2 linked regions of the Caenorhabditis elegans genome follow. The protein of the gene in region 1 interacts with the protein of each later gene in a pairwise test. Each region holds a gene or a part of one and is shown on either strand. Other genes may lie near its edges. The genes, in order: rod-1 and ndc-80.

Region 1 (3,924 bases):
TTGAGGGATCCAAAGTGCTGAGTTTCAATATCAAATCCAGAGTTCGAATTGAGCACCATTTGAGCTGCTCCGAGTACTGCTTGAGCAGCTAATCTTTTAGCCTCTGCTCGTCCGAGCCCTTGTGCGACGGCTCCATCTGCCAGTGATTCGATGTACATAAATGTCCATGCAGGACTACTCCCTCCAATAGCCATTGCCGGGTTAAAGCATCTTTCTGGGATAAGTTCGACAGTTCCAACACACTCGGCGAACTCGCGTGCCAATTCGATGTGAGAATCTTGATTCATAATTTTTTCATTCTTTTCATAGCACATCGTCGAGGCGCCGGCTCCAATAGAACTTGCTACATTTGGCATCAAACGAACAATGGTAGTGTTTCCCGAAACGAATGGCAACTGGAAAAATGTTATGTACAGCAAATTATGATTTCTAAAATTATTTTATAACTGCTTATAGTAATCACCTTCGCGTTGAGAACTTTTAATGGAACTCCAGCCATTACAGAAATAATAAATTCTGGTCTTGAGTTTACAGGCCAGCTTGACACAACTTCTTCGAAAACTTGAGGTTTCACACAAATCACATAGATTGCCGTCGAATATCTTTCCAGCATTTCCAGTGTGTTTGTGAAAACGTTTTTATATCCTAGTTGCCTCCATTTCTCAGCCGATTTTTCCGTTTGAACGCCAATTACAATATTGCTTTTCGGTGTAAAGCCTAAAAATTAGAAAACAATTTAATTCAAATCAACGAGGAGAACAATTTTTTAACTCACCTTTATTCTGGCATCCTTTTATAATTGCAGCGGCCATATTTCCACCTCCGATGAACACGAATGGCACAGACTCTGAGGACCCGTTTGTCAATTCAGTATCGATAGTCATGGTTTTGACTGAAATCAATAATAATTGTTTTTGACACAACAAAAAGCAACATATTAAAAAAAAAAGAAGAAGACATGAGCAGAGGTTTGCCCGCTTAACGAGATTCTGTTTCTCAACTGCGTCTCTGTGCGTTTAACATATAACTGGGTTCTATTTTATGTCTCTTGTTAGACGTCTAGACGTCTAAGTCTCCATTTATATAAAAGTTACAATAAGATATATTATGGTACATGCTGGGATCATTTTAGTACCGAAATTGACATGAAAAACTAGTATTCTATAAAAATTTGTATCTTAAAACCGTGAAAGGCACAGAAAGTCACCTAGATGATTATTTTGTCATCATTCCAGAGGCCGTATAGATAATAAAATATATTTGTCATCGGTTCAGTTTTGTCATCCTGCTCTGGAAAATAATTCAAAACGTTCAAACCACGAACAAAACAGTAGGAACAGGTGAAACACAGAAAATAAACACTTCAAAATTTCTTTAAAAAATGTAAAATTATTTTATTTATGATAAAAACTTGAAACATCTGAGCAGATACGGTAGACATATTAAAGGCGCATGCTGAATATTGGAGATGGGTTTTGGGACGAAAAACTACGGTCTTTTTTCGCCTGCCCGCGCAAATTTTAGGCGCGAATTTCTCTATATTTACACGAATCTTAATTCTTTTGGATATCATTTTAATTTTCAGTTATTTTCTCGCCTCATCCTAATAAATCGTTTCAGACTATTTATTTTTGATAAATATAGTGAAATTTCTGAATTTAAAGAAGTTTTCCGGTCTAAAATTACGTTTAAAAAAGCTGTATAGTTAGGAACACGTAATTTCCACGTTTCGATCAATTTTTACTGAATGTGTTAATTGTTTTTCATTATTTAATTTTTGTTCAACACAGTTAAAGGTAAGGAAATGTATGAGATTTGAAACGCTTTTCGTGTTTAGTTATTGGTTTTTTGCTTCAAAATTCAACTATTTGGTTCAAAAAAGTCTTGTTTCTCTCACTCTAACACTTGGAAATTGCGCCCTGCTGACACTTATTTCGGCGGCGAAAAACATTTTTTGAAATGAAATTGTTCACTCATTTTTATAATCGTTCTTCTGTTAAATTTTTTAATTAGAGATACCAGTGTATTATAATGTCGTATTTGCAGAATGGGTCGCCTAGGCGAAGCAAAAGCTGTGGACTTGGAAGCGGAAACGTCGACTGTGGGCCTTTATGATGTGTGCACCGTTGGGCGAATCCTTCCCCGTAAGAAAATAAAACTATTATCTTTATGATTAATGTAATTAAATGTATGTTTCAGTGTTAAATGAGATGTCAATCGATAAGAAATCTCCGGCATGGAAGCTCAAACCGAAAAGTAACGAGCGATTTCTTGTTCTTGCGTCGTGCTCCGATCTGGCAGTCTTCAGTCTTGGCGAGAAAAGCGACTACTCGTTCAACACCGGACTTGGAGGTATGAGCTATTTCAGAGTCTCTGGAATGATTTCTCAACATTTTCAGGAGCCATCACTGATTTCGAAATCCTTGGAAGTTCTTCCTTCTTTGTTGGAGTCATTGAACATCGTCGTATTGTAATTCTCTCGCTGGATAAACAAGAAATTTACTTGAACGAGCCAGCTCCTCATGAAATTGACTTCGTTGTCTGTCACACTACTTCCAGTGTTTGCCAATTGATTTTCGGGAGCCGATCTGATAATTGGCATACTATCACATTGCCAGGAGACGTGGCTGCATCTAAGGAGACTAACCGTTTCGAAAATTGGCACAGAGATCAGATTCAGGAATTTTTCCACCAGGTAACGCTCATCACATTCATTTAAAGTTTCAAATTAATTTTAATACTCTCTTTTCAGGCAATGGGAAAAACGGTTTCAAAGTCTGTTGACATGTCGAAGGTCGCAGGTGACATTACTCTGATCTCCAATGGGCCACTTCAGACGTTCGCTTCAATTGATCAGCAAAGAGGGATTCACTGGTGTGGTCTCGTCGAATCGGAGTTTGAGGTGATTGGCATGGAAAAACAATTCTTGCAAGTCCGTGATGGAGGTAGATTCTCTCTTCACCTCGACACGGATGGATGGATTCATGTCTTTGATTCATTGGTATCATCCTTCTGCCACGAATTTGACATGAAGATGTCTCCAGACGACAAAATTCTTGATTTTGTGATCATTGACAAGAATGAAGTTGAAGTTCCGAAGATGTTCGCAATTTTGGTTCTGCCACGTGACGGAGATAGCACAAAGGTATTTGAATCGTATTTGTTAAATTTTAATAATTTCTTTTTAGATGATGATATACGATCGATTGAATAAAGACAATTGTTTCGCTTTGGATTCATCCACGTCTACAACTCTTTTTGCTTATGGAGGAAGTGATCGTGTCTTGATAGCCGTTGAAGAATTGGAAAATTCTCTGGCAGACGAACAGGACGGCAGTCAAATTGTTGTCAGACAAGTCTCACAGTCTCGCCCTGAAATGCGTTTCGAATCTCTTCTGAAGAATAACAGATTTGAAGAAGCTGAGAAGTTCGCCATGGCATTCATGCTGGATGTACAAAAGGTTTACAAAGGACACGTACATTATCTGATGGACTCTTGTGATGAAAGCGATGAATCTTTTGAGACTCTGATGACGAAGATGGGACAAATTCAAGATCATAATATGGTTGCTGAAACATACTTCACTCTTGTTGGAATGAGTCGGCGCTGTGATCGTATCCGCACCTACTTGACTCATGCAAAGAAGCGCAGAATAACGGATCTGGATATTCTGAAAATGATTGAGGCACTTTGCTACACGTGGGGAACTTATCGAATCATTGCTGGTCCAGAAGAAAACGAACCAAGTCGTCCACAAGTTAATGAAACGATTTGGGATTTGTTCGTCGAAGCTTTGCATGATGCGAACCCGTGGATCGAAATCTATAATGAATTCATTTCTGACGCCCAGTTCACTGTCAGTTTCAATCTTATGAAGTTTTTTGTACTCAATCATACAATTTTTCAGCAAGCCCGTGTTATCT
Region 2 (3,924 bases), 2.6 Mb from region 1:
CTGCGGTAACTGCTTTATTTGAAAATCTTGACTGTTCAGTCTCAAGCTCAAGCTTTCTCTGATGCAACTGTCGGCTGATCTCTGGAACCCATATCTTGTTCAACGTCTCCCAGTAATCCTTAAGATCTCTGAAAATGTAGATTTGTGAATTTTTAATAAATTGTTAGAAATTTACCTTTCATTCGTTGGAGCTCTTAGTGGTTCAAGATTCATTTGAATATTAAGTCCACTGAGAATTTTCATGATTTGTTCTGCGAGATGAATGAATTTGGACTTTTGCTGAAACATACAAATTTGATTGTCATACAAGTATTTCCGTGAATGATAGGCATTCAACTTTCCAAAAACCTAGAATACCTCTTTGAAGAAGTCTTCATCTTTGAGTTTCCATGTTTCTTTTGATAGACGATCCAACTCGCTTTGAATTTCCAGTACCACCTCCTTGTCTTTATTATTGTCAAGATTCATTTGACGCACTTCTTTTCCTGTCAATCCGTGAATTTGTTTTTGCAACTCAATTTTGTTCTTCAGATCGTCCACCATCTTTTGCACTTTTTCATTTTCTGAAATTTTCTCCTCTTGCTCCGACTTCACCATAGCCAGTTCTTTCTCCATATGCTGCTTAACATGAAGATTTTGCTCGAGATAATCTTTAGCTTTTCGGATGTCGTCTCTGATTCTTGATATCTCTTCTTTTAAGCTTGCTTCGTTTCCTTTCTGAAAATAAAACTTCTTTAAAACAAAAGTATCGAAATTCTACTTACATCAGCCTCTATCTCATCACATTCGTAATTGAGCATCTCCAGAGCTGATGCAGCTGTTTTAGTCATATCCTCGAATTCATTGGATTGCTCGAAATACTTCCGTAGACGATGCTTCGTGTCGTCCCAGTATGAAGAACTGGGATTTTCTGCTGCTTTTCGATCATTTGTATAATCTCTGAATGTACTTGTCATCCATGCATAATTGAGCGTTTTTTCTTGAGCTTTTCCCTGTTCCATGAAATCACCGAACAGGATATTTTGTGTGTCCTCACTGACAGCAGAATTGATCTAAATGGTTAAATAAATAGGGATGAAAATAATAAAAAAATCAGTTACTAACTCTAATGATATCAATAAGCCAAGAAAGTGCGTCAAGAAGATGTGGATATCCATGAGAAGATCCCATTGGTTGGTAGTAGCTGTTTTTGAGTGGATACGGGTATCCAAGACCTTTGAATATCTGGGACACCTCCTCTTCAATCCGCTCATGCCGTGGAAATTCGTAGTCTTTACTGAGATGTTGGTAAATTAATTCGAAACAAGCAATGAAATCATTCTTTCCACGAGGTTTCATAATGAGCTGTTCTGATGGTGCATCCGAGCTTTCATATTCCACAAGAAAGTTGTAAATTTTGCTTCCATTTAAGCTGACCAATGATTTCACATCTCGCGGAGCAACTGATGAATTTTTAGTATTAAACAATGACACACGAGGTTGACTCAGACTGGGGCGAGCGTCAGTTCTGCAAATTAGATTAGTTCTTCATCGCACGAAATTGGATATTTTTACTTTCTGACTGATGTTGATCCAGTATAATCGGTGAATCTTTTAGTCGGAGTGATAGCGATTGAGGCACGTCCGTTGAGATTCAAGCCGCCCGTTTTTCTTCGATCTCCAAACATTGTCAAGAAACTGTAATGAGCGAATAAAATTGACCAGAACTGAATATACTAACGGAAGGCGACGCATATAAAATTTAAAAAAATAATTCTGGCAACTATTGAGAACTTTGTTTTCCAACTTAAAGAAGAAAAAACATTTTTACAGAAATATTTATGAAAAAAAAAACGAAAATAGAAATTTGAGTAAAAACAATATCGAGAGAGAGAGAGAGAAGTCACATTTGAATTTTCCCGCTATAGCAATTGTGATTGGAGCGCACTTACATTACAGAGACGCTGCACTCGCGAGGAAACTGATTTCCGGAGATTCCAGAATGAAGGAATTGTTGGAACTTTTGAGATATAATTTCAAACACGATTAATATACAATAGAATTGAATTTTCCTACAATGGTTAGATCATTTCCAGTCGGTATATTGATAAACAGAAGTTGCCCCTTAATATTTGCATTTTTGTAATTGAAGTTTCCAGCCAATAATTACGTCAAATTTTTTTTCTTCGAGAAACTGATATAGTTTACAATAATAAACCAGTATCTTTAACCAATGGAGTGATAACACAGAACTGGATCCTCTTATTCTTTCTCTTTTCTTTCTCCTTAACAAGAACAATTATACCAGTTCCAAGTAATAGCCATGGACGTCTCTAGTATAAAAACATCAGTTCTTTTGGAATTCTTCAGTCCATCACTCACCCTCCAACAGTAATCATGGACATCGACGCTCGTATCAAAGCTTATAAATTTGTTGCCTATTCGGCAGTCACCTTCTCGGTTGTCGCCGTTGTCTCTGTTTTCATCACATTGCCAATGGTTTATAACTATGTTAATAATGTGAAGAAACAGATTCACACTGATGTTAATTTCTGCAAGGTTTCTGCTCGTGATATCTGGAGTGAGGTGCATCTTATTAAGGATGCTCCAGGAAACAATACTCGTGTTGCTCGTCAAGCTTATTCCACTGGAGGAGCTGGAGGAGGCGGAGGCGGAGGTAAGGATCTTGGTTCACAGAGTTTAAGTATTTGAATACATTTTCAGGCGGCGGAGGATGTGATGGATGCTGCAATCCTGGACCACCAGGACCAGGTGGATCTCCCGGAAAACCAGGAAAGCCAGGAAAGCCAGGAGCTCCAGGAGCCCCAGGAAATCCAGGAAAAGGAGCATCAGCTCCATGTGAGCCAGTTACTCAACCACCATGCCAACCATGCCCAGGAGGACCACCAGGACCAGCTGGTCCAGCCGGACCACCAGGACCACCGGGACCAGATGGAAACCCAGGATCACCAGCCGGACCATCAGGCCCAGGACCAGCCGGACCACCAGGACCAGCAGGACCAGCCGGAAACGACGGAGCCCCAGGAGCCCCAGGAGGACCAGGAGAACCAGGAGCATCCGAGCAAGGAGGACCAGGAGAGCCAGGACCAGCTGGACCACCAGGACCAGCCGGACCAGCCGGAAATGACGGAGCCCCAGGAACCGGAGGACCAGGACCAGCTGGACCAAAGGGACCACCAGGAGCTGCTGGAGCACCAGGAGCTGACGGAAACCCAGGAGGACCAGGAACCGCTGGAAAGCCAGGAGGAGAAGGAGAGAAGGGAATCTGCCCCAAGTATTGTGCTATCGACGGAGGAGTCTTCTTTGAGGACGGAACCCGACGCCGCTAAATTTAGAAGCGTGCCGTTTGTGCCAAATAAAGCATTTTTCATTCAACTTCTTTGTTTATAACATCTACATACCACACGAAGAAATATTTTTAAAAACGTAATCCTCGAAATATGTTCAATAATTTTCCATTTTCAAAATTTCCGTTTATTTCTCAATATTTCAATATAACATCTGAGGGGTGTTCAAGCAAAATAATGTGCTTGTATTCACAAATATCAATTATTCTGTTTTTATTCTGGTCGTTAATGTTACAACTCATCATTGGAACGACTTGTGTCTCTAAAAATTCACAGAAGAGGTAGGTCAATATTTAAAAAAAAAACATCAAAGAGTTAATAAAATTAAGTAAGAGTTCTCGAGAAACGACGTCATCTGAAAGAGCATGTAAACCAGCGGCAACGTCAAAATCTTCATTGATTTCTGAGAAAAGTGAGAGGAGATTATCGAGTGAAAAAAGTATGAAAAAGGAGAAAATCACAGTGTAAGATTCAATATCCAATATAATTATATCTTGAAACTGTTCAGAATTGATTCTCTAAAAGTACCACGCCGGGCACCGCAAGCTCAGAGATTTACCAATTCTAGGATCTCAAG

What was found.
Region 2: the proteins of rod-1 (region 1) and ndc-80 interact in a two-hybrid assay, tested with the Caenorhabditis elegans proteins (one study listed by BioGRID).

Annotation. Positions count from the first base shown.
Region 1 is NC_003282.8:7,476,406-7,480,329, forward strand, and holds the start of rod-1 (Kinetochore-associated protein rod-1), read left to right. Parts: upstream 1-2,046; 5' UTR 2,047-2,047; coding exon 2,048-2,144; intron 2,145-2,199; coding exon 2,200-2,352; intron 2,353-2,399; coding exon 2,400-2,695; intron 2,696-2,752; coding exon 2,753-3,145; intron 3,146-3,188; coding exon 3,189-3,857; intron 3,858-3,908; coding exon 3,909-3,924. Other genes in the region: pycr-4 (Putative pyrroline-5-carboxylate reductase 4), read right to left, coding at 1-395, 464-717, 776-884. UniProt on the Caenorhabditis elegans protein: Essential component of the mitotic checkpoint, which prevents cells from prematurely exiting mitosis. Required for chromosome segregation, the assembly of the dynein-dynactin and mdf-1-mdf-2 complexes onto kinetochores and spindle pole separation.
Region 2 is NC_003282.8:10,083,890-10,087,813, reverse strand, and holds the start of ndc-80 (Kinetochore protein ndc-80), read right to left. Parts: upstream 1,678-3,924; 5' UTR 1,668-1,677; coding exon 1,555-1,667; intron 1,508-1,554; coding exon 1,105-1,507; intron 1,053-1,104; coding exon 765-1,052; intron 718-764; coding exon 358-717; intron 280-357; coding exon 176-279; intron 129-175; coding exon 1-128. Other genes in the region: col-2 (Cuticle collagen 2), read left to right, coding at 2,377-2,656, 2,704-3,329; W01B6.8 (uncharacterized protein), read left to right, coding at 3,441-3,628, 3,677-3,811, 3,856-3,924. UniProt on the Caenorhabditis elegans protein: Acts as a component of the essential kinetochore-associated ndc-80 complex, which is required for chromosome segregation in mitosis and meiosis and spindle checkpoint activity.